Lonchura striata: one gene and its partners. The protein of the gene in region 1 interacts with the protein of each later gene in a biochemical or structural test. Links are inferred from orthologs where the notes say so. Each region holds a gene or a part of one and is shown on either strand. Other genes may lie near its edges. The genes, in order: SPI1, IRF1 and MECP2.

The links.
Region 2: the proteins of SPI1 (region 1) and IRF1 form a complex in vitro, tested with the Homo sapiens proteins (2 studies listed by BioGRID). The link is inferred for Lonchura striata from reciprocal best matches to the Homo sapiens genes SPI1 and IRF1.
Region 3: the proteins of SPI1 (region 1) and MECP2 form a complex in vitro, tested with the Homo sapiens proteins (2 studies listed by BioGRID). The link is inferred for Lonchura striata from reciprocal best matches to the Homo sapiens genes SPI1 and MECP2.

The regions. Positions count from the first base shown.
Region 1 is NC_134608.1:39,308,554-39,319,605, reverse strand, and holds the start of SPI1 (transcription factor PU.1), read left to right. Parts: upstream 1-6,864; 5' UTR 6,865-7,147; coding exon 7,148-7,192; intron 7,193-11,052. UniProt on the Homo sapiens protein: Pioneer transcription factor, which controls hematopoietic cell fate by decompacting stem cell heterochromatin and allowing other transcription factors to enter otherwise inaccessible genomic sites.
Region 2 is NC_134617.1:10,776,076-10,786,931, reverse strand, and holds the start of IRF1 (interferon regulatory factor 1), read left to right. Parts: upstream 1-5,949; 5' UTR 5,950-6,055; intron 6,056-7,338; 5' UTR 7,339-7,343; coding exon 7,344-7,430; intron 7,431-8,392; coding exon 8,393-8,492; intron 8,493-8,682; coding exon 8,683-8,859; intron 8,860-9,179; coding exon 9,180-9,229; intron 9,230-9,342; coding exon 9,343-9,478; intron 9,479-9,646; coding exon 9,647-9,772; intron 9,773-10,379; coding exon 10,380-10,423; intron 10,424-10,856. UniProt on the Homo sapiens protein: Transcriptional regulator which displays a remarkable functional diversity in the regulation of cellular responses.
Region 3 is NC_134638.1:1,377,167-1,387,242, forward strand, and holds the start of MECP2 (methyl-CpG-binding protein 2), read left to right. Parts: upstream 1-5,964; 5' UTR 5,965-5,973; coding exon 5,974-6,011; intron 6,012-10,076. UniProt on the Homo sapiens protein: Chromosomal protein that binds to methylated DNA. It can bind specifically to a single methyl-CpG pair. It is not influenced by sequences flanking the methyl-CpGs.

The DNA of each region.
Region 1 (11,052 bases):
ACTGGTAAAACTGTTACTTTTTATATTTTTCTCAGATTCCTCAGAAATGCTTCATTGACTTACAAAGTCATACAGACCCTGAGCAGAAAAATCCCTAAATACTGCCTGGAAAATATGGGTCTAAACATAATACTTTTACTGGTTAAACTAAGTTTATTCTGTATTACTGAATTAAAGGGAAAAAACAGCTTTGGTAACAACATGCTGCAACTGTAAACTATGTTAAATTTTGTCACTGTTTAAAATACACAATCCAGTACTTTAATTAAATTTTAAAGGCCTTGTATATGGGTGAGGTCTGTCACTGAAGAGACAAGAAACTTGAGACAAGAAATTCCCAGGGGCACGGGAGTGAGAATAAGGTCACTGCAGAAGACTTGAATTTTCATTCACCAGCAGAGTATATTTTATCAGCAGCTTTACCTATATTTGCCTATGCTGTACATAACTGCACGTAGTATTTCTAAGAGAACTGTATCTCAGCTTCTTGTGTTATCCATCACAGAGGGTCACAGTGGTTACCAAAAAGACCCCCAATCAAAAGAAAAAGCCATTGAGAATGTTTGTCCCCTTCTCAGCTGGCAGGAGTCCTGTAATCTGAGTTATAAATAGTCAGCCATGGCTCTGTTTTGGTGTCTACTCCTCTGTCTCCCATCATCTCCTACTCAGAAAAGTACCATTTCCCTTTTCTTAATGACCACTGAAATCATTTAGGGAATTTCCAGCACATGGTGTGCAGATTCTGATTCACTTTAACCCCAGAAAATGTTTAACTCCTTCTGGTAATTATTGTGAATTGATCCAGTCCTACAAATGAAGATACCCCAAGTTCCTCTTTCCCTTTCCCCCCCTCAACCATATACAGGCACTTTGCAATCAAAGCATTCTGCTCCTCTGCACCCCACTGCCACTGCACTGAAATCCTTGTCATAACACCTTCGGCTCTCCACATGGTTAATTTGCTCAGATTTATGACTGTTCCTGCTCATAAAACAGGAATATAATTCTATTTTTCTAATTTTCCAAGATACATGCCTCTTAGTTTATTCTTCTGTAACATTCTTTAAAATACTGCCATTAATATAATATGGCCAAAACAAAACCTCTCAGTTTTCCTTCTCCCGCCTTCTATCAGCAAAGCTGTTGTAAGGCTTGCTGTCCTAGAGGCTGTCTGTGCCCATCTACACAACCAGGCTTTATCAAGGATATGCAGTTTCCTCTTGCAGAACACCTGTAAGTGGAAAATTTTTCACTTTCCTTTATTGCTTAAACTCTTGCCCACCAATGACCTGAAAAACAAGTCTCCTTCTGTCTGGTGTTCCTGCTTCAGACTCTTTTTCCTTCCTCTCCTTTCTCCATTCTAAGGGGGAGATCATTGTTCAAAAACTTTCTGCTGTATTTCTCCACTATTTTCCTTTAAACTATCACATCAAAACCAAATTTTGATGTCCTTTGAATACCCTTCACAAAAGTATTCCCCCCTAGTATTTTTTTCTTTAATGTGCAATATGTTATGTAATTGTTTAATGTTCAATGTAATACATTGCACAACAACAAAAAAAATTAAATAGAGTTCAGTACAGTACCTACGGTACTGTAGATTTTTTAATGCAAATTGCTTGCATTAAAATGAAAAGATTGCAACATTAGAGGACCAATAGTCACAGTCATGCAAACAAGAGAAGGGAGGAAATAAAGTATCAACGCATTTATTGTTAGCAGAACAACTTTGCAAAAAACATAGTACTAAAAATATAGAGCAAAATAACGGCATCTAAACAAAAATTTATCAGCACCTTCAATGGGCCTGTATCCTTTACCTGGCTGATGTAGCACTTGACAAAGCACTAGGCAAACTTTGCTCTTAAAGAAAGGAAAAGCTTAAGATGGAGCTACTTATCTCTAGGCTGTTAATTTTTTCTACCAGGTTAGGTAAGGATTTCAGCTTTTCACCAAACCCTGCAGATTTCAAGACACCTGAATAAAATCACAGGCAAGAAAGTAAAAGTGAAGACTGAATAACCTAACTGTATGTGACTTATTTAGTAAAGATGGTCTGAGGATACAAAAGAATGAATTGTAATTAATTTAAACACAATTTTCTAGTTGGTAAAAAGTTTCAACAGATAATATACTCCTGAGTGTGTCATACACACCTGCCTAGTCACACACAAAAAGCTGTGACCTAGGCCTTGCATACATACTTCAGCTCTTATGCAGCCAAACACCCATGGGGAGGATGGAAGACAGCACTGGCTCCCAGTACTTTAGTTCCTCTGTCTGTGCAACATTCCAAGCACAAAGTCCTCATCAAAGTGGTGGCAGAGAGCCAGAGGCACAGCTACAAATCCACCAGCTACCTAAGCACATTTATTTGTGAATAGCCTTGTTCTCTTTAGAATTCTGAGAGATTGCTAAGAGGTATAATCCTAATAAGATGCAAGCTTGGAAAGTATTATTTACATTAGGGATCAAGACTAGGTACAGCTGAGCTCTCAGGAAAGAACTGCTACCTAAATATACAAATCAAGCTCCACACAGAAAAGATGTCTCTGACACAGCTTGGCAGAGGTCACTACAGACTCACGGTAAGAATCCTCTCCAGTGGTGAATGTAGTCCAACAAAATAGTTCGGATCATAAGAACACTTCTAAAATCAATATCCCGATCCTTCCCACTTACTACACTTTGCACCACACAGAAATATTAGGATGCACAAACTGGATTATTTTCAGATTAAACTGAACATGTAGCTCAGATCTCCAGCTGCAAGTGGGAATTCCATGCCATCAGACTAGAATCAATCTGAAGTGACACCTTGTCAAAAGAAATACAGGGTGTATTGAGCCTCCATCAGCAGCAAGTAGTTTTCTCTACAAATATATTCTTCTCAAGCTGAATCACAGATTCACCTTAAATTTATAATTTAATTTTTACCATTAAAGTATCTGATTTTTTTTGGGGGGGTTGGGGAGAGGCTGTGTGGAGGTGAGAGGGTGATAGACAATTCTGCCTTCACCTTACTGGTGCTACTGACTGTAGGTAGGATGCACACTGGATGTAGACTTCAGAAGTAGATGGTTAAAGCAGTCTTCCATGTTAATTGCTTGAAAAGATACTAAGGTTTTGAGAGATTGGATAACAATAAGCGAGCAGAAATGTGTAAATTGAAAATCTGTTGCCCACAGAATGCAGAAGATCATTAAAAACCATATAAAATCATAACCATATAGTTATTTGAAAATGCCTTAAAACCCAAACAAGTTTTCCCAAATACAGTAAGTAATAAAATGCAGATGACACGTAAACAGATCTTAAAGCCATATAAATTGCCAAAGAGAGATTTTTTCTTTGCTGAATTCTGTTTTATGAAGAGTTTAAAAGTTACTAATCAACTGAAAAAAATAAATGCTTTTCATTTCTGTAAGTGAATGCATATCATAATAGTTCTTAAAATATCCATGAAGTTTTCTCTTCCTCCAAATGAAAGTGGTTTTCTCCATTCTCATATGGATGGAATCTAGTCTATGCTTGAAAATCTTTGTCAATATATTGAAGTTAGCTAAAACTGATGTTTTAATTGCATTTTATCACATTTCCCACTAGCAAAAGTCTTTGTATAGATGCTGTTACATAAAACTCAGGAACTCATGAAAGCTGAACTGTCAAAAAGCACTTTTTTGCAAGTATGAATTGCATCAGCTCTGGGAAGGGATACCCATATAGTGAGGAAAAGTCTTTATTGAAATACAGTCATGCCAATAAACCTGTGGGTATCACAAGGGAACATCAGTGAGTGATACCACCACAGTAGAAATAGGAGCACATATTTCAGGAGAGAGTATAGTCAGTCTGTTAAAGTTCCTGAGGTGCAGGTCCACGTGAGAAAAAAGAGGTAATAAAATCTTTTCAGCCAGAATTTGCAGCAGCCATTTTCTGCCTCCTACTCTCTCACAACAACATATGCAATAAAGATATTTCAACAAATATCTTCACCTCAGTATGAGTGCATGCAACAAGCAGTTATCAAGAGAAGACTGTCCTCCAGACCCCACAGGTTCCACAGTCAGAGACCCATGTAGTCTCAATGGATAGTAAATGTTAAAGGATGGTATACAAGACCTACAAGCTGTATTAGGTCTAGATAAAAACAAGTTCCATGCCAAAACATAATACTGTGAAGAATACAGAACACAGGGGAATTCCTTGCTTAGAGGTGTTGTCTTTCTGTTACAAGAAAACTCAGAAGCAGAATCTGTGTAAACACCTGTTTCTGATTAAAGAACTACAGAATGAGTGATGTTGTCTGTGGTTTTAGTAGGGGGGAAAATTACCTTCCAAGCACCAAACAAGGTTTGAGGTGACGAGACCTCTCTGTGATGTGGCTGCTAGATGAAACCCTTTTGCTTTGGTAGTTTGTGGTTAGAAATGGCTTAAAGAACAAATGGCTAGAGGTAGGGCAAGAAATATTCCAAGAAAAATGCACACAGTGAGGTGATGCTTAGAGGGAAAAGATTCAGATGAATGTTTAATGTTATCAGAAATAATCTTTCAAAAACTTAATCCTTCAGCTCATCAGTTTTTTCTCTAGTTCTCAAATTCCATTATGGAGAAGGATCTTCATCCAAATTCAAAAGTATTTTTAAAGGTCAAAATGCACCCTGTGAGTAGCAGTTCACATCAGTTACTCTGGAAATCAGTTCACTACTACACAACTGTTCTGTAATTTCATCTATTTTCTTGGTTTAAGTAATCTAATAAGGCAACTGCAAGGATCTGGGGCAAAAGTATCACCTCTAGCTGCCCTTGCTCTCGGGGTGAGAAGATTCTGTGCTCACAAACAGAGGATAAAATATCAGTTATATGCAATTGTGAGAAACTAGTCTGTGTTGAACTTTAGCAAGGTTGTTACTAATGATGTTGCTATACAATTGTGATAAACAAGTGTTTTATTTCACTTTGAGCATTTCCATTTATGGACATATCCTCTTTCCTAGGAAGATTATTCAATTGCTGGACTTCCTGCTCGTCCTGAAACCTTATGTCATATAATTTAGTTTTGAGTCAGCATATAGAGAATCAATTTAATTCTTTATATTGATTGCCTTGATGCACTTACAATTACTATATGTTTGGACCCAGTCGATAATGTTGGCAAGTCAGCATTCCCTGAGTGCAGTAAGGCTGGTGCAAAATATCTGTCCTAATTAGGCAATTTCCTCTGCTAAAAGTCAGTACAGAAATGTCCTCCAGCCTATGGAATATAGTTTCATTCCACTTTAGTAGAAGCCTCTCTGTATAAAACACATGTTTAATATTTGCAGAAGCTGCTTAAGCTATCTTTCAATATGCAGTGAATCAGATAGCATATCTTCCTCGCTCTGAATAGCCTTGTTAATAGACACAGGATTTCCACAATTGCTTTTATCACCTATTATTCAATTGCCCACTGTAAGATTTGTGTGTTCACTCCCTTCTCTTCTGTTTGCACTGAATTTTATCATCAGGGTGTTATTTTGCTTCTCTCCTTTTCCCCCAGGTGGTTTGATCACTTCCAGGCTGGTATCCAGGGGGTGACTTGAGAACCATCTCAGAAGCAGAAGTGGACTGTTAAGCAGCTTGCTTATTCCCAGGCTGAAGTCAAGAGTTCATGGTATGAATTAAGGAAGAATTAAATGCTTGTGTATCAACTAATGCTGATGAAATCCAGTTAGAAGCTTCAAGAGTTAATATCCCATCATGTTCTTGATATTATCCCATTGCTAATATGGTTTGCTCATGGAGTTCCTGAGGGTGGGGAATGAGAGGAACTTGTGAGTGGCCTCTGGTTTTACCAGTGTACAAGGGAGGAAGTCTGGAGTGGCTGAAATTCCCCCTTGCACACAGATCCAGGTGAGTGGTAAGCAGGCTGCTTTCAAAAGCAGAACCTGTGGCACATGGGTATAGACTGAAGGGGAACAAACCAGACAAAGAAACTTCACTTTTCCAAGACATTAGTAACTAACTGCAAAGCAAGAAGGCATTTTGCAGAATGAGAGCTCTCTCCCCCTGTAGCCAGGCCCCATCCCCTACGTCCTGCCCCATGCCCCACTCACCTCTGGCACTGCCAGAACCTGCATATGAAGGGCATTTGTTCTGTGCAGCCAAATGCCAGCAGAACAGTGGGATAAAGAGAGGGGAGAAAATCAAGCAAGCAGAACTAACACAAAATCTCTACAAGGTATTTCTGCACCTGAATCTTCAAGCAGGAGTCTATAGATCTTGTTCTCTATTCACTGCTAAAGGTACTCGGGACCTGAAGGACATGTAATACTTTCTCCTTTTCCCCACTCACTTTCTCCTGTAGGAATTAGAAAAGAAAAGAGTTCACAAGAAACAAGTAAGAGGACAAAGTATCTTTCACTGAATTTACTCTCATGCAAAGCTGACGACGAAAAGTCTCATGGGCATAACTTCAGTGTTTGTATAAACCTAAGACTGTGTATTTGAAACTGCATACTCTTTTTTTTCTTACCTGCTAAGTATTGCCACATAAATTTCAACACAGGACTATTATTGATGCAAGTCTATGCCACTGCTCTGGCCTCACAGAAGTTGTCAGGACTGTGTCTATGGTGTCTCATTAAAGCAGAGAGCAGCACCATGGTTCTGGTTCATGTGCAGTGGGAGCACAGAGCCTTCCCCCGGGCGCTGCACCGCACGCTCATGGCAGGCCCTGGGCTGCTGCTTGTACAGCAGAGCACCTGTCCATGCTGGGGCAGACTTCCTGCTGCAGCGCCACAGCTCCCTGAAATGAGATTTATGCAAACTGGCTCAAGTGTGATGTCACAGCGCAGATAGACCCAAGGCCTATCTGCCTTCTACAGACATTTGATAAAATCAGGAACTTCGCATACAACTCGGGAAGAAGTTCACCTCAGAACCTATTAGGGCAAACTATGAAAACTTGTTAGGGTCCTCCTGTCCTGAGATCCACCACTGCTAAGGGACTTCACAGAGTCCAAGGATCTCACTTTTTTTTTTTTCCTTTTCTTTTTTCTTTATTTTTCCTTTTTTCCTCCCATTTTTAAAATATGATTTTTTGCAAGTCAGTTATTCTGGATGTTTGAAAACTGAATTAAGAAAAATTCACTCAGAAGTTGGCTGAATGTTGCAAGCTTGCAAGATGGAAGGATTTCCCCTTATTCCCCCTGTGAGTATATGAATTTATTTGTAATATGGATCATTTGGTTCAGTAGTAAAAGGCAAAGTAAACCAGTTTTATTTATTTGAGAATATCTCTGGTTTGGTCTGTATTTATAATGTCAGGAAGTTTGGCTTAGGTCAATATATAAAACTAGTGACAACACTGCAATGAAAGGGAAATTAACATTTCCTCCCCAAACTTGTATCTGATTTTGATCTCCATTTGTTTTCAGAGATTAAATGTATGGTATTTTTGTACATGGCATTTATAGCAAGTCAGTAAATCTCTCTTCTTCAGTGCCACCTACGTGATATAAAAGCCGTCTTTCTTCAGATTGTAATTCTTAATCATCTGAAGTCTCTGACATAGTTTATGTATTTAACTGTCTACTAATCTGTGAGAGAATTGTTGAATGTTCATTTGCATATTGCAGATTTTAGGATTCTGTGTGTTCTTTTCAATGATGGCATTTTAGTTTTTAACTTAATATTTTCTTAAATTCTCTTGAATTCACTAACTGTGAAAAAGTAATTGGCATATGGGGAAAAACCTGCGGTCCTTATTTGATTCTTTCAATGTTTTCTCTAAGATATAAATTTTTCTGTGTGCTTATGGGGCAGGTCTATCCTTTCCTTAACTCTGAAGAATTGTTGCACTGCTGTAATTTATCATATGATGATTTAAAAAATTATTATTTATGGAAAAAATAATGTCATTAACCTGGTGTTCACAAACCAGCCTTAATGGGAAATCTCTAAACAGAATGGGTGCAAGAGGCCTTAATTAGATTTCATTAAGTTTGTAGAAGCTGAAGACGTGCCAGATAAGGTGGTTCACTTTGCTTTTTATGTGGTAGATGGCTTACAGTAGTTGCTATACATGTGACAGAGAAGAAAAGAGACAATGCAGATCCAAGAGGTTTTTCGCAAAAACTTGTATCAAGTTCTGGCTTTGTCTTGTCCCATTTAATGAAGACTAAAAACATTTCTTATCTTCCATCCAGAAAAGTTGCCCTTTGAATTCCTATCATGTTCAGAATTCATGATGACTGACTGAAAGTATTTATCTTATTTTTGGGGGAGACCCTTTATTTTCTCAGTTTATCATCAGTGCCCCTGAAATCACCTATCTACTCAAAGGGTGAGGAGACTACAAATATTTTTCTTATTCTTAAATATGCAGAATTTCCCAATGGGTCTGGTGCAAGTGCAACAGAATAGAAATCTGAATAGAAACTAACTAAAAAAAAAAAAACATATATAGAGATTTCTCAGTATGTTACTTGTTTGGCTTAAAAAAAATAAATTAAAAAGAAACACAAATCTTGTTGTCCTTAGCTACCCCAGAAAACTACATCTCCATTTAAAAAAAAAAAACAAAGCAATTGTTAATTTTTTGTCCATTTATTAACTCATAGCCAAGTTTTCTGTCTCTTTTTTCCCCCAGAGTTGAATTCCAGGACATATGTTGAATAAATTGAGTGAAAATCTAACACAGTTTGGCCCATATTCTAATTTGTTTTGTAGTTAATATTCTGTCTGGGTTGTGTTCAGATGAGCAATACAACTGGCAGTGAAAAACCAAGTGCATCTTCATTAAGCACTTGACAGGGCAACTTGATTTTTTTTGTTTTGTGATTAAACTGCCAAAAATTGAATATTGTTGTTTGTTTTTTCAAAACTGCTTTAAGTGCACTTTGAGCACTGCAGCTACACTCCTGCATGTCTGTGTCTCCTGGGGCTTTTTCAGTGGGGAGACACAAGCCTGTTTCTAGGCAGGGGTTGCAGCAACACTTCCCTCCTCCACCCCTCCCCGTTCAGTTGAGGGTGGGTCAGTAACTGCTTTTTCTTGCCCAAGCTAGGAAATTCTTATCCTTCAGATGGAAAACACTGTTTAAATTGTTTGGGAGTACTGCATCTTCCTCTGAAGATTAGAAATTTTGTGGGGAAAAATTCTGCAAACTGGGTCTGTGTCTTCCAGTGCATGGTAGAATTCAGTTGTGTTACGGGTCAGAACATTATTAAGTCAAACACTTTTGCCTGAAGAGGGTTCCAGTTTTATATGAATCCTTAAGTAGCCACCTGTAGAAATCATAGCTTTGAATGAAGTATTTTTGCATGAGAGCAAAAATGCCCCACAGAAGTATTCTGTTCCACATAACTGCACTGCCAACATGGTCCAGTGAGGATGGCCCAATGAGTAATCATGCTAGTATTTTTACTCATCTTTTCTAAAATAGTTATACTGTAATTTTTTTCCAAGGAAATAAAATTAATCTTGACCTTAAAGCTTGTATCAGCGGCACATCGCTGGAAATTGTCTGAAGTATTTTTGAATCACATGCCTCTGAATAGTTATACCAAGATAAAAAACAGATTAGCATTTAGTGATTTTACAATTTCCTGGAATCTTCTGACAAAGTCTTGGGGAATAACAAAATTTTCAGACTGCTATTCAGTTGAGTCCAATGTGTCTCTCTTAACCAATGCCAACTGAGGCTTTCTCTGACTGGTTTTGTGGCTTTTCCCTTGAGTTTCAGGGCAAAGATGGAAGACTGAGGCCACTCCTCATTTATCAAGTCTGTGACAGAAAGTATTGTTTGTTGACCTCTCACTCTAGGGTAGAATACTGTCTTAGATAGTGCACTGCACCTCATGGCACGCATGAAAGGAGATACCAACTTTAGACCACAGTTATGGGATCCTAACAAAGCTTTCAGTCATTCTTATACATGGAAACAACCGATAGAACAAATGGCCATTGACATCAGTTAAATATTAAACATGAGCTATTCTTTGCTTTTTGTCAGGAGTAACTAAACAGTTCAGTGTCATGGAAGAGCTGTCAGTAAGATGATGAAATGGGTGTGGGTGGGGAGGTTCCAGAGAAGGACAGGGCAAGTGGGTAAAGATTGGCACAAGAGGCAACAGCAGTACATGGTGAAACCTCTTCTCTCTTCTTAGAGGAAGCATTTCTAAAGAAACTTTTCTAAAAATAACCAAAACAACAACCCCCCCCAAAAAATACAGAAAGCAATTAAAACTATGTTATTGAAAATAGACTCTCTGATAAATGGAGGGAAATATCCCACTTTCCCATAGGATAATCAGAGAGAATACATGCTGTTATATGTCCTTCTAACCACCATCTGATTACATTTATGATAAGTAGACTTTTAAATATTTAATATACATCTTTCCATGTTGGTTAATGGGGGCCCTTGAAGATCAGGCACGAAGATAGAAAGCGGTGGCATTACAAGTCCTTTGTGGGGATGGGTCCAGTGGCATGAGTTAACAAGGATAAACACATACATATTTTATCAAAAGGATCACTGGACAGGAAACAAATCCAAGGACAAAGATTCCAAGAATCCAGAATAAAAAAATGTTAAGCCCCAGACTTTCAAACCCAATGCCCTATGTAAAATAATTTTTAGACGTTGAGTATCTGCAAGTTACTCTGCAGTCAGTCAGATCTGTAAATATTAAGAGAATCACTGTTTTAAGAGTCTATTTAACACACCTCCCTTTAGCTCTGGTCATTGAATATACATCTGAGCTGTAAAAGTAGCTTTTGACTTGTAAAATATTTAATTCCCAGCTGTCAGACTGGGAGACACTATTGGCTGTTAATGTATATTTGTCCAAAGTGAGGGAGTTTGGAAACTGAGAGAAGACAACACAGGAAAAGCACAATTAGGAAAAGCCAAATGTATTTTTCTATGGCTAAAATACATATTGTTATCTACTTTTGCACTAATGCTTGGCCTTCCTGCCAAGCTATACTTCTGTAAAGATATGAGTGATATCTTGTTGTATCAGTGGAAATTTTAGCAAATTAAGCCTCAATTGATAGGATACTGA
Region 2 (10,856 bases), on another chromosome or scaffold:
CAGAGGATGTTAAAAATAATAATAATAAAAATAAATCTGTGTTTATTTCAGAAAAAATCAATCCCACCAAACAGGGGAAGGCGATGAGTTTGAACAAGGAGTCGTATGGGACAGCTGGTGCTTTCCCCAGGGTCTCCCTCGCTGGGTGCTGCTCAAGGGAGGTGCTGCCCCCCATTCCTTGGTTGGGAGAAGGTTGCAAGAGGTTCTTCTCTCCTTGCAGATCCGCCACTGTCCCTCAGCCATGGCTAGCTGAGTCCCAGTTCCCTCCTCCAGCATCCAGCTGGATGTGTCACTTGGCTTCTCCTTTTTTTCTTGGAGGGGACACGACCAGTGCTTACAGCACCCTCTTTGAAAGCATCAAAAATTGAGAGCCAGAAGTGAGAGCTGTGTCTGCTCTGACCCCAGCAGGACAGGAGCACCACACCTGCCTCAGGCAGATGTTTTTCAAGCACCAAATCTGAGTCTTGCTTATGTAAATTTTGGTATTATATGTTAAGGCTGCTCTTCTCCCTTGTGGTCTGTGTCTGGGCAGAGATGTTTGCAGTTGGCATCAAGGTTAAAAGCCAATTAATGATTAAAATATAGGGAATACAACTCAGATGTTTTAGCTTATGATTTTCACTCTTTGATATGGTCCTACAAGATCTTTGATGTCGCCATGGCTGCTCCAGCACTGGAACCAGCAGCCCAGCTCAGCCCAGGTCCTATCCTGCTGTTCACCCTCAGTCTGTCCCAGCTGGGACAAGCCCCCTTCCCACTGCCTCCTTTTGGCACCCTCTTTGCACAAGGGCAGGACACGCTGTTTCAAACAAAGCAGGCATTATGGATGTTCTTTCCAAGATGAAGCAGAGGTGAAACGCTCACAGGTCACTGCACTGCAGCCTCCACTTCCAGCTGACTTCTCCTGGAGCCCCATCCCCAGGGTGTCCCTGCCTCTGCTTGCAGGAACAGCAGGCAGGGGCTGGGTGCAGGCAGGAGGTACAGGCAGGAGGTGCAGGCAGGGGCTGGGCAGGAGGTGGAGTTGCCTCCAGAGCCCCCAGGAGCCCCTGCCTCCCCCTGAGAAGGGCTGGGGGCACAGCACCTCACTGCCACAGGCACTGGCCTGTCCTTCCCTTCCGACAGTTGGGAGGTTTGGCACCTTTTCCAGTCCAGGATGGAGCAAACTTTCCCAGCCAGGAGCCAGATAAGAGCACAGCCAGCCTTGCCCACCACGTGCTGCTTGTCCCTTTGGCTCGAGTCCTGCTCTGCAGATGGCTGGTTGGGCAGGAGGTCCATTCACACTCTCAGATGGATGCTCTAAGGGCAAACCAAAGAACTTGAAGACAAAACTCACCTTTTTTTCTACTGATCTCAGCCCCAGCTTCACTGGCAGGACTCCAGCAGTCTCAAATGCATGGGTTCCCATTTGACTTGGTAGTTACTGGCCAGGACCCCAGGGCACCCTGGGTCAGCACAGCCCTGTCACTGTCCCACAGCTGCTCCACTGTGCCCTGGGTGAAGACCCAAGTGAGAGGGTCCAAGTCCCTTTGGCATCATTTTTCTGCACCCTTGTCAGCAAAACTGCCAGAGCTGCCAGGTGCCTGCGGCTCACAGAATTTCCCTCAGCAAATTGTTCATGGCATGTCTGTGTCCTCCTTCAAGGAGCATGGAAAGTCCAAGATCACAAGTGAAGTTTTTGCAATTTCCTTTACTCCCACCAAAACAAGCACACAATCTCTGCTTGGTCTAATTAAAAAAATTTGCTGTGTTATCACTGGGAAGAACTGGAATAATTTTGAGTCTTTAGATAGGTCTTTCCAATTCCAGGAAACTGTAAATGGCCCATCCCAGGATATATTTATTGTTGCCTGCAGATCAGAGCACTTGCTGGGATTACATCATGCCATCTGGGCAGAGTTTCAACATTTCTGACATTCATTATCCTGCATGTGCTTCAACCAGAGTTCCTTTCTGTAAAATAGGCATTTATAAGAAATGGAAACAGCTTGGAGCAAGCCCTGCACCCTCACAGCTTCTGACCCACCAGCAGCTAGTTTTGGTTGGCTGCCTCATGGCAGTTTTTAAGGCTGATACTCCATCCCTGCTCCTGAAAAAAAATCACTCTGCATTAACCCCTCACTACCTGGAAAGCCCTTGGGAGGAAGAGGCATTTCCTGCCCACAGATGACCTTGGTCACCAAAGTGTGACAGCAGCTGGGTGCTCCTTAGTGGGGAGCCATGACAATGTCTAGGTTATAGGAACAGCTCTGCACCCATTTTTTAAGTCCAGCTCCACAAAGGAAGGTTTGTTTCTGAGCTGATGGGGAAAGGGGACAGAGGCAGGTGAGGGGGGGAAATTGGAAAGGGCTTGAATTAAAGCAGGTCTCTCTTAAAGCAGGTTGAAAAGAGGAACAAACAAACCTTCACAGAGTGGGGTCTGGAAGGGCTGTTGAGGCCTGGTGGGCATGGAAAGGTCTTGATGCAGAGATGGAAGGAAGCAGCCAGGGCCATGAGGAAAGAGATAAGAGGCTCCCTCTCACTGTGCTCCAACTCTTCCCCTCCACAAACCCCTGCTCCATCCTGTGGTTGTTCACTCCCCCCCCACAAATACTGCCTGGCCATGCAGACCCAGGGCTCTGCTGCCTCCCTGGGCTCACTACCAAGCCACCCAGAAGAAACTTTCTGTGGCAGCTCCAACCCCATCTCTCCCTGTCTCCATCTCCCCTTGTCCCCACTGTCTGAGCACACATTCCCCACTGTGGACCTTCTCCCCTGGCTGAGTTCACAGGGGAGGGAAAATCTTCAAAGCAAAGACTGCCATGAGCACTTGGTACAATGCTCAAGCTCTTTCCCCCAAGACACCTTAGAGATTTAGAACCCGAGGCTCACCTGGATGTGAATGCAGCTCTTCAGTCTGTACCCACATTGGCAGACATGCCTGCACTGAAGTGTTCTGGTTTTCTGCCCTTTACCTTCCAGCTTCTCAAAGTGTTTCTGGATGTTTGGAGCCTCAGGTTCACCCCATGGCACATGGAACCCATGGGGTTCTGTATTAACCACAATTTCTTCCATTCAGCACAGTATCAGAGCCATCCCGAGCTGCTTAAACAAGAAGAGCAATGATGCCAGAGAAAAAAGACCCATGTTTGAGCCTCTGTATCTGATCCATAACCTCCCTCCTTAGAGGCCATGCCATGGCTGATGTCATCCAGGTCACATTTTTTGTATCACTTAAGTTACAGTTTTCCTAGGAGCGCCTTATCTCAGGGCTCTGGCTGAGAGGGAGACGTATGTGTTATAGCATAACAAACACAACTTGCTGGAGGATTTGTTTGGCACTTAATTTGGTTTTAAATAAAGATGCTATTAGATATTACTTCTGCATTCGACAATCAATCCTAGACTTGGGATGCCCCTGGATCAAGTAAATGTGATAAAATATGTCAGTGATCTGCTTCTCTGCGATAAAACAAGGGAATTGGCAATTCATGGAGGGACTATGGAAAAAAAAGGTGTCCAAGGTAAGATACCTGTAAAATAAGGCTGAAGAAGGGCTATGATTCTGCAGAGAATAAAGATGTTGACATTATAGAAATTCTTGGGTGATTAACTGGGTGGAGCAGAAGGGCTTTATGGCCAACCATTTAATGACTCCCTGAGATTATTCCTTCATTATACTTTTATACATGACAAATGTAAATGTATATTTTTGCTACCTGAGGTCAGCTGCTGACAGGGTTGTTAGTGTAGTGGGATAAATGAGAGGAAGGAGTCAGTTTAATAAGGAGAAGGTTTTGTAAGTGTGGTATAAAGGAGTCTGACACTCAATAACATTGTGGACACACAAGTTATTTCCTTGTTTCAGCAGAAAGATAGCAAACAAATAATCAAGCATAAGGCATCCCAGGCTGGGCAGGTCCTGCTCCATGGAAACGTGACATGTAGATGTGGGACAAGACACAGATAGAAAGCTCAATTAGGTTTCATTATGTAGGATCGATCTGGGTTTAAACACAAGGAAAGAAGAGGAGATTGGGGGATGGGGCTGTTTACTTTCCTCATGCATTTCTATTCTAGGTCTGTTTATTTGGTGTCTGATGTCAATTTCTGTCAAGATACAGACTATAAAACCAGTAAGGGAGTCAAAGAAGTCATAGATTAAAAAATGTTACTGTTCAAAATCCAGTCATTTAAGATGTTTGATGCATTTGTCTTGTGCAGACCCATGAAACCAGGAAGCTCAGAATTATTTTTTTCTAAAGCTGGAAAAGTGGTGAAAGCAAACCATGGGAGGTTGTAACTCAAAAGCATAATCTTTTTTGGTCAATATTTAGGTTGTATAAGAGGTAGTGTGATTATTTTTGCAGATGACATTTACAATGAAATATCAAATATCTTCTGTCTTTTTCAGGCTACATTTATGTTGGCTTATATTTGTCTAGTAATACCTAGTATCTCTCCTTTGATTACATATTTAATTTACCTAATATATTATATCCTTACCTGTGGTGAAATCTGAGTGGTGAATGGTGCCTCCCTCAACACAAAGACCTGACTGGAGGATCCTACCACAAGTTAAGTGTGTCAAGCAGACAACATCATTAGTTAAGAGAAAACATGGGACTCTTACAGGGTGTTTCTTTGCAATTAAAACCAGGTTGGGGCTTTTCTTTTATCTCTATACTAAAAGAAGGAAACTTGCCAGAGCAGACAGTCAGTGTAGTGGTGTCACACTCCTGTCTCAGCTGCCCATGCATCTTTGTACCTCTCTCCCAATATAAATTCCTGTTGCATATGATTACAAACCTTCCTTGAAATTATGGAAGTAATTAAAAATGCTCTAATATTCTGCTGAATGAAATGCATTTTGAAGACACTGGGTGAAAATCTAATCTCCCTGTCATACAGTTACAGAGAAATCCTGATGGTTTCAGTAGCCTTCTGTCATGCTGCCATTTCCCTTCCTCAGGCTTCCTTCAAGAGGGATAAGAGGGGACAATAACACTGATCACCTTTGATCACAGAATCCCAGAATACCAGGGTGTTTTGGATTGGAAGGGACCTTAACGGTGCAAACACCTTGCAATAAGGACAGTTTCCAGCAGACCAGGTTGCTTCAGGCCCCATCCAACCTATCCTTGAACACTTCCAGGACTGGAACATCCTTTCTGGGCAACCTGTTGCAGGGCATCACCACTCTCACAAGGAAAAATTTAATATCTAATTGGAACCTATCCTTCTCTTAAGCGTGAAGCCATTCCCCCTTGTCCTGCCACTGGTCTGCTGAGGCCAGGTGGGTACCTGGCAAAAGCTGGTCCCTGGTTTAGGTGCACCATGATGTGCACAGGAATTGCTCTGACAACTCCACCGTCTTTTCCTGAAAAGGGAGAGCACGCTGTGGTACGGGGGCTGGATCCCGCTGTGGGAAGGGAACAGGATATCTCAGCGGGACGGGGACTGCGTCCCTGCATGGAACAGGGACTGGATGTCTCTGTGAGACAGGGACTAGATCCCTCCATGGGATAGAAACCCGATCCTTCGGTGGGACAGAGGATGGATCCTGCCGTGGTTCGGTCCTGGATCCCGGGCGGTGGTGGCTCCCGGGCGGTCCTGGATGCCGGGCGGCGGTGGCTCCGGACAGCGGTGGCTCCGGGCAGCGGTGGCTCCGGACAGCGGTGGCTCCGGACAGCGGTGGCTCCGGGCAGCGGTGGCTCCGGGCAGCGGTGGCTCCGGACAGCGGTGGCTCCGGGCAGCGGTGGCTCCGCACGGGAAGCGCGGGCGGGCGGCGGGGCGGGGCCGGAGCTCGCAGCGGGGAGCCGCGCCCCCCGAGCCGCTGGTGCTACAACAGCGTGATTTCCCCGAAGTGATGCCGCGGCGGCCGCCAATGACGGGCGCGTCCACCCCTCGCCGCGGCGCGGATTGGCCGGGCGGCGGCCGGGCCCGGGCGCGGGGAATCCCGGAGCCGCCGCGTTATACCCGCGGGCGCGGCCGGCGGCAGCCAGAGCCGCGCGGCGGGCGGAGGGTGCGCGTCGGTCGGCCGGGAGAGCCACAGCTCGGCACTGCACGGCACAGCTAGGTGGGTCCTGCTGCAACCCATCCCATCCCATCCCATCCCATCCCATCCCATCCTACTGTATCCTATCCTACTCTATCCTATCCTATCCTATCCTATCCTATCCTATCCTATCCTATCCTATCCTATCCTATCCTATCCTATCCTATCCTATCCTATCCTATCCTATCCTATCCTATCCTATCCTATCCTATCCTATCCTATCCTTATCCTATCCTTATCCTATCCTTATCCTATCCTATCCTATCCTATCCTATCCTATCCTATCCTATCCTATCCTATCCTATCCTATCCTATCCTAATCATCCTATATCCTATCCTATTCCCATCCATCCTGTTGTATCCCATCCCACCGTTAGCCCCCCACTTGGCGCAGCACGGGAGCTCCAGGAGGAGTCGCCCGGCAGGGTCCATGGGAGCGCTGCCGGGGGCTCGGCGCCGCTCAGCTCGGCTGGCCTGAGGCGGCGGGGCCGGCCCCAGCGGCGCCGAGCGGCTCTGGAGGCGGAGCGGGGGCACTGCCCCGGCAGCACGGCCCCGGCCGTCGGGGCGGGCACCGCGCATCCTCCCGCGGGCGCGCAGGGCTCGGGGACGCTCGGGCGGCTCCGCTCCGGGCAGCCCTTGGCAGCCCCTGGCCCGGGGCGGCACTCTCCGGGGCCGCGTCCCGCCCAGGCCGAGCTGTGAAAGTTAGGAACGTGTTCTTCGGGCAGCCTTGGGCCGTGTGTCTCGGAAAAAGCCCGCAAACAGGAAATTATTCGTGCAGAGGAAGCGCCGGGAGGGCCGGTCAGCGCGGCGGCAGCGCTGCTCGGGACGGGGCGTGGTGGGGCTGGGGATACCCACCTGCAGCAGCACCGCTGCCCCCGCCTTGCGCAACTTCATTAATAATAAACTTTTAGCAAGAGGGTTTCGCGGTCGGTGCCTCTCCGTGGCTGTGGAGCGGGGGAACAGCCGCACCCCGTGGCGGTGCTGGCGGACCCAGACCTGGTCGGAACCGGGCTGAGCGGGCCCACCCGGAGCTCCCCGCGCAGCACGGGCTGGACACCCACTGCTGCCGTCGGCCTCTGCCGAATGCCAAACCTGAGCCGTGTGGTGGAGCTGAGCCAGGCGGAGCAGGAAGCATTTCCTTCCAGGAGCCCTGGGAGGCACCGAACGAGTTAAGACTCCCGAAAAGCAGCTCTCGGTAGCACTGGTGGTGATGCCGAGCACAGACAGTATGGGAGGGGCGGCACTGCAGAGTGGTTAAAACAGTGATGAGAGTTTGTCTGATCTGTTTGTTACTTCTTTCACAGCCAACATGCCGGTGTCAAGAATGCGCATGAGGCCGTGGTTGGAAATGCAGATTGATTCCAATCAAATACCAGGATTGATATGGATTAACAAGGTGAGGCTGCTTTGTACTACTATCATCATTATGCTACTTGTATAGCATTAACATTCCTTGTTCTTAAATGACATTAAACACAAGTCAAGATCATAAAGGAAAAGACATAGAGAAAGCTTGCCAGCACTATGTTTAAGAAGGAACAGTTTTGTTTGCAGAAAAGATTGCTCTGCTTGGTACACAGTGGAGTAGTTCCATTTTTCCCTCAGAAAATTCCCAGGAGGGTAATGATAAATTGCAAAGAAAACATTCTTTGTATGTTGGAGAATGAAGAAACATTCAAAATCTCTTTTAATTCCTGCTGCTCATTGAGCCAAGTCACCTCCTGTTCCAGATAAGCAGCTGCTGTTGTACTCCATTTGCTTCCATTTTTAAGATTCAGCCTGAAAGAAATGTTCTATTTTTTGGTCTGTAAGGCCACCCTGTTACCAGGGTGTAGCACAGGTCAAGATCACTGAGCTTACTGAACCAAGTGTCTTAAGTTTCCATGTCCACTCCTAAGAGGATATTTAATCGACATTTTTTGGTAGGATTGCTGCAAGATCTTATGGGCAATTTAAAAAAGAGATTCTCTGACAAAGTGTATCTAGAAAAAATGCTGTAATATATGACATACTAATAGGTTAGATGTGATATATTGAAATTACTTGGGGATAAAGTTGATAATATTGCTCAGTTCTACTGTACTGTAGCACCTTTGGGGTTTTTTCCAGTTTCAGAAATCATAAAAAGCCTTAAATGCCATGAACAAAATAGATGGAACAATGGCTATTTAATTAAAATATAGATTCAATAACTATTGTAGTTATATGCCAATAGTTTAACCCTCCCTGCTCTAAAATACAGAGCAGGGGGTGTTAGAACATTTCTGAACTGCAATTGAGAACTCTGATTAAATCCATCACTCCAATCTGGCATGTGACATTTCTTTTTTTAATTCAAATCTCTTGGTTAAATTTCAGGATAAGAGGATCTTCCAAATCCCATGGAAACATGCAGCTAAGCATGGCTGGGACATGGAGAAGGATGCCTGCCTTTTCCGGAGTTGGGCCATTCATACAGGTGTGTGCTGGCTTTACATTCCCATCAGTCCCATGACTAGACTAAACAAGGCATTTTTTTGCCTAGATTTACACTGGTAGTTAGATTAACTACTAGTATGTGTGTCAGAAAATAGAATGTTGGTATCTGTCTTTGTGGGAAAAACCAGCACTGGAAAGTCTGAAATACACAACCCATCTCTTATTTACAGGAAGGTATAAAGAAGGTGAGAAAGATCCTGATCCAAAAACCTGGAAGGCAAATTTCCGCTGTGCCATGAATTCCCTGCCTGACATTGAAGAAGTGAAGGATAAAAGCATCAACAGGGGCTCCAGTGCTGTCAGGGTTTACAGGATGCTGCCACCCTTGACAAAGCATCAGAAGAAAGGTAAACCCTTGGCAATCCAGCTGGAGTTACACTGTTTAAACAGCACTTAAAGGCTCTGTGTGTAAGCACGGTGTGACAGACCTGTTGGCAGCACTGATGCTACTGAGCTTGCTCACTGGCTATTGCTGGGAACAGCTTGTACAAACAGTTCATTTTATCCCAAATTCCTTAAACATGCCTAAAGGCAGCATCAGAGGGTCATGGGGACTGGCTGGTGATGGCAGTAGTTGAACTTGCTGAGCAGGTTTCAAGGCTGCAAGAGCTCACACTTGCCTAAAATGTGCAGCCCTTTCTCACATTGGTCTTATTTTATTTCACAGAAAGGAAGTCAAAGTCTTCAAGGGAAGTAAGAAACAAGAGCAAGAGAAAGGTATGTGTCTGTAGAGACAGCTTAAGAAGTTGGAGGTTTTGGTGGTTTTCTTTCTTAACTTTTTTCATATGGGAACTTGCACGTTCTTAGACATGCTTTACCCTTGTTTTCAGTGTTATGAAGAGACAATGCTGAAAGAGTCAGCAGAAAGCGTAACCAGCACTCCTTTGCCAGATGACCACAGTGGCTACACTATTCACGACTATGCAGGGCAGGAAGTGGAGGTGGAGAGCACAGCCATGACTTTGGGTGAGATGCTGGGTTTAAGTCTGAGCAGAGTGGAAAATGCCATTTGTGCTAAACCCACGGTCAAAGATGACTCTGGGGGCTGGGGCAGGTGCAGTGTGAGACTGGCAGGGAGGGAAAAGGGCTGGCTGTGTCTGTCCTGTGAGTGCCAACTCCTGGTGCATCCCACAGACCTGTCCTCCTGCGAGGTGAGCGGCTCCCTGACCGACTGGAGGCCAGCGATGGAGGTCACCATGGCTGACAGCACCAACGACCTCTACCAGCTCCAGGTGTCTCCCCTGGCTTCGTCCTCAGAGGGTGGGTATTTCTTTTTTCCTAGCCCAGTCTTTTACTGGTCTGCTGGAGGCAAGACAGCAGGATGAAGGAGTGTCTGGGCAAACAGGAGAAACAAGAGCTGTATTATAGAAAAAACAACTCCCACCTGATAGATTTGGGAATTTGGAGTTACCACACCAGCCAGGGTGCAGAAGGGAAGAGCTGGCACATGCCACCTACCCATGGGTGAAAGGCTTTGAAATGCCTCCTGCTCCAGCAGAGATGTGAAGCTTATCACTGGGGAAATAAATAATTAACATGGATATATCAGGGTGGATATATCAGGGTGGTTCTTCACTCGGGGTACAAATCATCTTCCTCCTATCATCTTCCACAGCAAGTGGGCTCTGCTCTGTTGAGCCCTGGGGAGGCATCAGAGCTGGCTGGAGTCCTGCACCTCAGTGTGCAGTTGTTGAAGAGCATCAGAGATGAAGGGCTGTGAGTTGTCTGGGGTGGGCATGAATAAAAAGTGGTCATGTTGTGTGACAGGAGAATATGAAGTAGGTTCTGTGGTGAAGAAGCAGAAGTATGAGGGCTAAAAGTTGACATCTATGTTTTCTTCCCTTTTTTTTATGTGCTTACAAAACAGTCACAGATGAAGATGAAGAGGAAATAAACCCGGATATTTTTAAGGTAAAACCAGCCCTTCTTGTCAGACTAAAATTGTCCAAAGTTGATGTTTTACCAAGAAAGGAAGGGAAGCAGGTATCTGATCCAATCTCATGTGAGCTGAACATACTTGTTCTTAATGAGGAAACCTGAAAAATTAAGAAGAAAGCTGCTTTGCAACCATGAACTGGAGAGGACACACCCAGAATTATGGAAATATTTACCCTATAAAAGTCAGGGGAAGTTACTGAATACTGGTAGGACTGAAGGTTCATAGAATCACTGAATCATTAAGGTTGGAGATGATCTCTAAGATGTCAAGTCCAACCATCAGCCCAGCACCACCACCGTGTTCATTAAGCCATATCCTCAAGTGCCATATCATCTTGTTTTTTGAACACTTCCAGGGATGATGACTCCACCACTTCCTGGACAGCCTGTTCCAATGCTTGACAGT
Region 3 (10,076 bases), on another chromosome or scaffold:
AAACTCTTTGGGATCCCAAATTGGACTCCAAAAACTCTTTGGGATCCCAAACTGGACCCCAAAATTCCTTGGTACCACTCTGTGCCACAAAATTTGACCCCAAAACCTTCTTTGGGATCCCAAATTGGACCCCAAAACCTCCCTGGTTTGCCAAAATTTTTACTGGGACCGTCCTGTGCCCACAAATCAAACCAAAAAACTTGCTGGGACCTCAAATTTGAACCCCAAACCTTCCCAAACCCCCTTGCCTGCACCCCAAAACTTCTCCCGAGTCCCTCCATACCCCAAAACACCCCAGACTCTCCCCCCTGTACCCCCAAACCCCTCTGGAGCCCCTCCAATTCCCCCCCTGGATTTTGGGGTCCCACTGCCCCCCCTGATGCCACCACAGGGTTTTGGCAACATCTGGGAGGGGGGTCCTGGTGGACATTTGGGGGGTCCCGGGTGACATTTGGGGGTTCCCGGGGGATTTTGGAGGGTCTCAGGGGACATTTTGGGGGTCCCGGGTGACATTTGGGGGTTCCCGGGGGATTTTGGAGGGTCTCAGGGGACATTTTGGGGGTCCCGGGTGACATTTGGGGGGGGTCTCTGCCCCACCCTGGTGGGGTGCAGAATGGCGTTTGGTGGTCCCGGGGGATTTTGGGGGGGCCGGGTAACATTTGGGCGGTCCTGGGGGATTTTGGGTGGTCCCGGGGATCATTTGGGGGGTCCCGGGGGATTTTGGGCGGTCCCGGCTGACATTTGGGGGGTCCCGGGGGATTTTGGGCGGTCCCGGGGATCATTTGGGGGGTCCCGGGGGATTTTGGGCGGTCCCGGCTGACATTTGGGGGGTCCCGGGGGCTTTTGGGCGGTCCCGGCTGACATTTGCGGGGTCCCGGGGGATTTTGCGTGGTCCCGGATGACATTTGGGTGGTCCCGGGGGATTTTGGGCGGTCCCGGGGATCATTTGGGGGGTCCCGGGGGATTTTGGGTGGTCCCGGGGATCATTTGGGCGGTCCCGGGGGATTTTGGGTGGTCCCGGGGATCATTTGGGGGGTCCCGGGGGATTTTGGGTGGTCCCGGGGATCATTTGGGGGATCCCGGGGGATTTTGGGCAGTCCCGGCTGACATTTGGGGGGGTCCCGGGGGATTTTGGGTGGTCCCGGCTGACATTTGGGGGGTCCCGGGGGATTTTGGGCGGTCCCGGCTGACATTTGGGGGGTCCCGGGGGAATTTGGGCGGTCCCGGGGATCATTTGGGGGGTCCCGGGGGATTTTGGGCGGTCCCGGCTGACATTTGCGGGGTTCCTTGCCCTCCACCCCCCCCCCCAAGGGGGGGACTACATGTCCCAGGGTCCCTCTGGGGACCCCCCCCAGGTGTCCCCCTAATCCCGGGGGGGTCACGGGTGGCCGGGATTAGGGACAATCCCCCCGGAGGTGGCCCCGATCCGGGGGGGGGGAGGGGGCGGGGGTGGGACCCCCCGAAACGGGGAGGGGGGGTGGAAAAAAGTTGGGGGGAGGGGAGAGGAACCCATGGACTGGGGGGGATGGGGGGTCCGGGGGGGTTTGGGGGTGTCCAGAGGGGGTTTGGGAGGGGGTCCCATATTGGGGAGGGGGTCGGGGAGGTTGGGGGGTGGTCCGGGGGGGGGGTCGGGAGGGGCCGGGGGTGGGGGAGGGGGGATTAGAGCTCCATCCCCGCTCATCCCCCGCCCTCCCCCACCCCGCTCCGGACTGGGGGCACCGTGAGCAAACTGGTGGCCACAGTGGCCGGACTGGTGGCCGTCCTTGCCATACTGGTTTTACTGGTGGCTGCAGTGCCCATACTGGTTCCATACTGGTTTTACTGGTGGCTGCAGTGCCCATACTGGTTCCATACTGGTCTCCGTACTGGTGGCTGCAGTGCCCATACTGGTGCCATACTGGTTCTTTACTGGTGGCTGCAGTGCCCATACTGGTTCCATACTGGTCTCCGTACTGGTGGCTGCAGTGCCCATACTGGTGCCATACTGGTTCTTTACTGGTGGCTGCAGTGCCCATACTGGTGCCATACTGGTTTTACTGGTGGCTGCAGTGCCCATACTGGTTCCATACTGGTTCTTTACTGGTGGCTGCAGTGCCCATACTGGTTCCATACTGGTCTCCGTACTGGTGGCTGCAGTGCCCATACTGGTGCCATACTGGTTCTTTACTGGTGGCTGCAGTGCCCATACTGGTTCCATACTGGTCTCCGTACTGGTGGCTGCAGTGCCCATACTGGTGCCATACTGGTTCTTTACTGGTGGCTGCAGTGCCCATACTGGTGCCATACTGGTTTTATTGGTGGCTGCAGTGCCCATACTGGTGCCATACTGGTCCCCATACTGGTGGCTGCAGTGCCCATACTGGTGGCATACTGGTTCTTTACTGGTGGCTGCAGTGCCCATACTGGTGCCATACTGGTTCTTTACTGGTGGCTGCAGTGCCCATACTGGTTCCATACTGGTCTCCGTACTGGTGGCTGCAGTGCCCATACTGGTGCCATACTGGTTTTATTGGTGGCTGCAGTGCCCATACTGGTGCCATACTGGTCCCCATACTGGTGGCTGCAGTGCCCATACTGGTGCCATACTGGTTCTTTACTGGTGGCTGCAGTGCCCATACTGGTGCCATACTGGTCCCCATACTGGTGGCTGCAGTGCCCATACTGGTGCCATACTGGTTTTACTGGTGGCTGCAGTGCCCATACTGGTGCCATACTGGTTCTTTACTGGTGGCTGCAGTGCCCATACTGGTTCCATACTGGTCTCCATACTGGTGGCTGCAGTGCCCATACTGGTGCCATACTGGTTCTTTACTGGTGGCTGCAGTGCCCATACTGGTTCCATACTGGTCCCCGTACTGGTGGCTGCAGTGCCCATACTGGTGCCATACTGGTTTTATTGGTGGCTGCAGTGCCCATACTGGTGCCATACTGGTTCTTTACTGGTGGCTGCAGTGCCCATACTGGTGCCATACTGGTGGCACTGGTGCCTCTACTGGTCTTGTACTCGTCTCAGTTGTCCCCATACTGGTCCTGCACTGGAGTCTGTGGTGCCTGTACTGGTCCAGGACTGGTGGCCACGATCCCCATACTGGTCCCTGATGTCCCGTACTGGTCCCACTTGTCCCCGTACTGGTCCCAGTTGCCCCATACTGGTCCCAGTTCTCCCCGTACTGGTCCCAGTTCTCCCCGTACTGGTCCCAGTTGTCCCGTACTAGTCCCAGTTATTCCCATACTGGTCCCAGCTCTCCCTGTACTGGTCCCAGTTATTCCCATACTGGTCCTAGTTGTCCCCGTACTGGTCCCAGTTGCCCCATACTGGTCCCAGTTGTCCCGTACTGGTCCCAGTTATTCCCATACTGGTCCCAGTTATTCCCGTACTGGTCCCAGTTCTCCCCGTACTGGTCCCAGTTGCCCCGTACTGGTCCCAGTTCTCCCTGTGCTGGTCCCAGCTCTCCCCGTACTGGTCCCAGTTATTCCCATACTGGTCCCAGTTGTCCCGTACTGGTCCCAGTTATTCCCATACTGGTCCTAGTTGTCCCCGTACTGGTCCCAGTTGCCCCGTACTGGTCCCAGTTGTCCCCGTACTGGTCCCAGTTATTCCCGTACTGGTCCTAGTTGTCCCCGTACTGGTCCCAGTTGTCCCGTACTGGTCCCAGTTATTCCCATACTGGTCCCAGTTATTCCCATACTGGTCCCAGTTCTCCCCGTACTGGTCCCAGTTATTCCCGTACTGGTCCCAGTTGCCCCGTACTGGTCCCAGTTGCCCCGTACTGGTCCCAGTTGCCCCATGCTGGTCCCAGTTGTCCCGTACTGGTCCCAGTTCTCCCCATACTGGTCCCAGTTGTCCCGTACTGGTCCCAGTTCTCCCCATACTGGTCCCAGTTCTCCCCGTACTGGTCCCAGTTGCCCCATACTGGTCCCAGTTCTCCCCATACTGGTCCCAGTTGTCCCGTACTGGTCCCAGTTATTCCCATACTGGTCCCAGTTGCCCCATACTGGTCCCAGTTATTCCCATACTGGTCCCAGTTCTCCCCATACTGGTCCGAGTTCTCCCCGTACTGGTCCCAGTTATTCCCATACTGGTCCCAGTTCTCCCCGTACTGGTCCCAGTTGCCCCGTACTGGTCCCAGTTCTCCCCGTACTGGTCCCAGTTGCCCCATACTGGTCCCAGTTCTCCCCGTACTGGTCCCAGTTGTCCCGTACTGGTCCCAGTTATTCCCATACTGGTCCCAGTTATTCCCATACTGGTCCCAGTTGCCCCGTACTGGTCCCAGTTCTCCCCGTACTGGTCCCAGTTGTCCCGTACTGGTCCCAGTTGTCCCCATACTGGTCCCAGTTCTCCCCGTACTGGTCCCAGTTCTCCCCGTACTGGTCCCAGTTATTCCCATACTGGTCCCAGTTCTCCCCGTACTGGTCCCAGTTGCCCCGTACTGGTCCCAGTTCTCCCCGTACTGGTCCCAGTTGCCCCATACTGGTCCCAGTTATTCCCATACTGGTCCCAGTTCTCCCCATACTGGTCCGAGTTCTCCCCGTACTGGTCCCAGTTATTCCCATACTGGTCCCAGTTCTCCCCGTACTGGTCCCAGTTGCCCCATACTGGTCCCAGTTATTCCCATACTGGTCCCAGTTCTCCCCATACTGGTCCGAGTTCTCCCCGTACTGGTCCCAGTTATTCCCATACTGGTCCCAGTTCTCCCCGTACTGGTCCCAGTTGCCCCGTACTGGTCCCAGTTGCCCCATACTGGTCCCAGTTCTCCCCGTACTGGTCCCAGTTCTCCCCGTACTGGTCCCAGTTGTCCCGTACTAGTCCCAGTTATTCCCATACTGGTCCCAGTTCTCCCCCTACTGGTCCCAGTTGCCCCATACTGGTCCCAGTTCTCCCCGTACTGGTCCCAGTTATTCCCGTACTGGTCCCAGTTATTCCCATACTGGTCCCAGTTGCCCCGTACTGGTCCCAGTTATTCCCGTACTGGTCCCAGTTGCCCCGTACTGGTCCCAGCTCTCCCCATACTGGTCCCAGTTCTCCCCGTACTGGTCCCAGTTATTCCCATACTGGTCCCAGTTCTCCCCATACTGGTCCCAGTTCTCCCTGTACTGGTCCCAGTTGTCCCGTACTGGTCCCAGTTATTCCCATACTGGTCCCAGTTCTCCCCGTACTGGTCCCAGTTCTCCCCGTACTGGTCCCAGTTGTCCCGTACTGGTCCCAGTTCTCCCCATACTGGTCCCAGTTCTCCCTGTACTGGTCCCAGTTGTCCCGTACTGGTCCCAGTTCTCCCTGTACTGGTCCCAGTTCTCCCCGTACTGGTCCCAGTTATTCCCATACTGGTCCCAGTTCTCCCTGTACTGGTCCCAGTTATTCCCATACTGGTCCCAGTTCTCCCCGTCCTGGTCCCAGTTGCCCCGTACTGGTCCCAGTTCTCCCCATACTGGTCCCAGTTCTCCCCGTGCTGGGGCAGCGGGACCCGGGGCGGGCGGGGCGTGGTCGGGGCGTGGCCTCGCGGGGGCGTGGCCGGGGGCGTGGCCTCACGGACCGTTACGGCCGTTGGATTTCAAACCCTTCACAGCGCGGGGGGGCCCAGGCCACGCCCCCTCCGCCGTCTCTTGACCGACGTCCCCTACAGCCAATCAGCACCCGGCGTCCCGGCGCGGGGCCCAATGAGCGGCCGCGCGCGCTCCGCCGACCCCGCCCCCCGTAACTGACAGCGCTTCCCGCCAATTCCAACGGCCCGCCGCGAGCGCCCCGGCCCCGCCCCCGGAGGGCGGCCCCGCCGCCCAATCGCCGCGCGCCGACGCCTTGACCGACGGTGCGCTCCGCCAATCAGCGCCGGGCGGAGGGGCGGGGCCAGCGCCGCTCCGGGTTCCCGTCGCCGCTCGGTCCGGGCCGCCCCCCCCCCCTCCCGCCCCCCCCCTCCCGGCCCCCCCCCTCAGCTTCCCCCCCCCCCCCCCCCCCGCGGGTTCTTCGCTGCGAAGAAAATGGCGGCGGCGGCGCCGAGCGGCGACGAGGGGCGGCTGTGAGTGAGGAGGGGGCGGCGGGGCCGGGGGGGGGCCGCGGCGGCTGTTGGGGAAAGCTGTGAGGGAGCGGAGAGCCGGTGGGGGGGGGGGGGGGGGGGTCTCGCGCGCGCGCGCGCACGGGGCGACGCCCCCCCCCTCCTCTCTCCCTCACGCCCCCCCCCCCCCCCCACATCCCCTTTTCCTTCCCCTCACGGGCCGGGCGGGAACCGGGGATGGCGGGCGGGGGGGGTGTGTGTGTGTGTGTGAGGGCTGGGGGGGGGCTGCGAGCGCCGCGAGTGCGTCACGAGCGGCCGCGGCCCCCCCGGGGGGCGGGAGGAGCCCCCCGGCTCCGGGGAACCCTCGGTGGGACCCCCCGAGCCTTCCTCGGGACCCTCCGCCACGGGGGGACCTCCCTTCCCTTTCCTCCGCCAGCCCCACAAAATGCGGCCCCCCCCCTCCAACCCCATCCTCAGCGCCGCTGTGAAATTTGGGGACACCCCCCCCCCCCCAAAATACACCCCTTCCCCAAAATCCTGTGTGCGTCGCCATCCCGTCAGGGTGGGATTTGGGGACCCCCCATCTCTCGCAGGGACCCCCGCCCACCCCCCCCCCCACAAGGGGACACACCCCCCCGGCCCGTCCCGCGCGCAAAAAAAACCCAAAAAAACCGCCCCAAACCCTTCCCGAGTCGCCCCAAAATCCACCCCGAACCCCCCGCGAGTCACCCCGGATTTCCAGAGTTACCCCAAACCCCCCTAAATCACCCCGTGACTCCCCGAGTTAGCCCGACACCCCCCCCGAAGTCACCCCAAAACCCACCCCGGAGTCACCCCGAAACCCTCCTGAAGTCACCCCAAAACCCACCCCGAAGTCACCCCGAAACCCTCCTGAAGTCACCCCAAAACCCACCCCGAAGTCACCCAAAAACCCTCCTGAAGTCACCCTGAAACCCACCCCGAAGTCACCCCGAAACCCTCCTGAAGTCACCCCAAAACCCACCCCGGAGTCACCCCAAAACCCTCCTGAAGTCACCCCAAAACCCACCCCGGAGTCACCCCGAAACCCACCCTGAAGTCACCCCGAAACCCACCCCGGAGTCACCCCAAAACCCACCCCGAAGTCACCCAAAAACCCTCCTGAAGTCACCCTGAAACCCACCCCGAAGTCACCCCGAAACCCTCCTGAAGTCACCCCAAAACCCACCCCGGAGTCACCCCAAAACCCTCCTGAAGTCACCCCAAAACCCACCCCGGAGTCACCCCGAAACCCACCCTGAAGTCACCCCGAAACCCACCCCGGAGTCACCCCAAAACCCACCCCGAAGTCACCCCAAAACCCTCCTGAAGTCACCCCAAAACCCTCTTGAAGTCACCCCAAAACCCACCCCAGAGAAGTCACCCCGAAACCCACACCGAAGTCACCCCCAAACCCTCCTGAAGTCACCCCGAAACCCACCCCGGAGTCACCCCAAAACCCTCCTGAAGTCACCCCAAAACCCTCCCGAAGTCACCCCAAAACCCACCCCGAAGTCACCCCAAAACCCTCCTGAAGTCACCCCAAAACCCACTCCAGAGTCACCCCGAAACCCACCCCGAGTCGCCCCAAAACACCCCGAGTCACCCCAAAATGTTACGCCTGCGCTGCGCCCCAAAATACCCAAATTTGCCCCGAACTTTCGCACTCACGTGGTGCCCCAAAACACCCCGGGTTACCCCAAAATAACCGGAATTTCCCCAAAATGCTGCACCCCAAAACTGCCTCAAATTATTGCATGCACGTGATGCCCCAAATTATCCCAAACTGCCCCAAAATGATGCACCCCAAAATACCTGAAAACGCCCCAAACCGCTGTTCACGCTGCGCCCCCAAACCCCCTGAATTATCCCAAAATGCTGCGCCCCAAAATACCCAAAATTGCCCCAAACTGCTCCTCACGCCGTGTCCCAAATCCTCTCGATTTACCCTAAAATCCCCTGAATTGCTCCAAAATTTTCTGCTCGTGCGCCACCCCAAAATACCCAAAATTGCCCAAAACGCTGCTCAGGCAGCACACCCCAAACACTCCATTTACCCAAAAATCCCCCAAATTTCCCCAAATTGCTGCACTCATGCAGCGCCCCCAAACTCCCCGAGTTACCCCAAAATACCCTGAATTCCCCCAAAATACAACAGCCCCAAAATACCCAGAATCGCCTCAAAGTTGCTTCAAATGTTCCCCTCATGCTGCTCCCAAAAACGCCTCAAATTCCCCCAAAACAGCCGCGCTCCCGCGGCCCCTCCGAGTCCCCCCAAATTCCCCCAAATCCCACCTGGAATTGCCCTAAAACTGCCCTCACGCCCCGAAATCCCACAAATCATCCCTAAATTTCCCAAATGTTGCCAGAATTATCCAAATTTCCCCGGAACACCCCAAAATCTGGGGTCTCACGCCCACCTTTGCTGTGCCCGGGGTTGTGCCCACCCCAAGACCCCCTTGGGATCCTCAACCCTGGGGCCACCAGGGCCACCCCAGACCCCTCTGGGACCTCCCAGGGACCCCCCAGGGCCACCAAGAGACCACCCAGGGCCACCTCAGCCCCCCGACCATGGGACATGTCGGGGAGTCCCTGGGGGTCACCCCTTGTCCCCAGTCCCCCTCATCCCGCCATTCCCACGCCCCTTCCCAAATTTTTTTGGTGCCGTTTTTGTGACTTTTAGCCCCAGGATGGGGCTGGGGGGTCCCGGCCGTGCTCCCCTCTCGGTGGGGAGGGGTCGGGGGGCTCTCCTGATGTCCAGGGTGTCACCGTGGGGACCCCCAGCGCTGGGGAGGGGGTCCTGGGGGGCTGCATCCCCCTCCCCATGACCGACCCCACGGTGGGGGTCCCGCCCCTCCCCGAGCCTCACCTGTGTGTGTTTCCTCGCCAGGACGGGACCCCCGCGCCGGTGGCAGCGGTGACACCGAGGACGGGGGTCCCACCCCACCCCAAATCCCCCCCTAACGAGGGTCCCGTCCCCGGTGACACCGACACGGGGGTCCGGTGACAGCCCCGGTGACAGCCCTGCGCTGACCACGGCCCCCAGGGCTGGTTTTAGTCCGGCCGAGCCCGGACGGGGCTTTGGGGACGTCCGGTGTCCACTCCGAGCCCCCGTCCCCTCCGTGCCCCCCACACCGCCGACTGACCAGCGCTGGGATGGCATTCCGGCCGCGGCCGTAATTCCCGCCGGTCCGGGCTGCCCCTCCTTCCTCCTCCTCCTCCTCCTCCTCCTTGTCCTGGCTCTGGCCAGGCCCATCCCCTGCTTTGGCCAATTCGGTGCCGTGTCCGTGTGTCCGGTCCTGTCCGTTTGTCCATCTGTGCAGCCGGGACTGACCAGTGCCGTGTCCAGGGAGCTGCGGTGCTGCATCCGTGTGTCCGGCGGGGTCTGTGTCCAGCACTGACCGGTGCTGTGTCCGGAGAGATGCGGGGCCTGTCCGTGTGTCCAGCACTGACCAGTGCTGTGTCCAGAGAGATGCGGGGCCCGTCCGTGTGTCCAGCACTGACCAGTGCCATGTCTGGAGAGGTGCAGGGCCCTGTCTGTCAGTGTCCGTGTGTCCAGCACTGACCGGTGCTGTGTCCAGAGAGATGCGGGGCCCTGTCCGTGTGTCCAGCACTGACCAGTGCTGTGTCCAGAGAGATGCAGGGCCCTGTCCGTGTGTCCAGCACTGACCAGTGCTGTGTCCAGAGAGATGCGGGGCCCTGTCCGTGTGTCCAGCACTGACCGGTGCTGTGTCCAGAGAGATGCGGGGCCCTGTCCGTGTGTCCAGCACTGACCGGTGCTGTGTCCAGAGAGATGCGGGGCCCGTCCGTGTGTCCAGCACTGACCAGTGCCGTGTCCGGAGAGGTGCAGGGCCCTGTCTGTCAGTGTCCATGTGTCCAGCACTGACCGGTGCCGTGTCCGGAGAGGTGCAGGGCCCTGTCTGTCAGTGTCCGTGTGTCCAGCACTGACCAGTGCCGTGTCCAGAGAGGTGCAGGGTCCTGTCTGTCAGTGTCCGTGTGTCCAGCACTGACCGGTGCCGTGTCCAGAGAGGTGCAGGGCCCTTCTGTCAGTGTCCGTGTGTCCAGCACTGA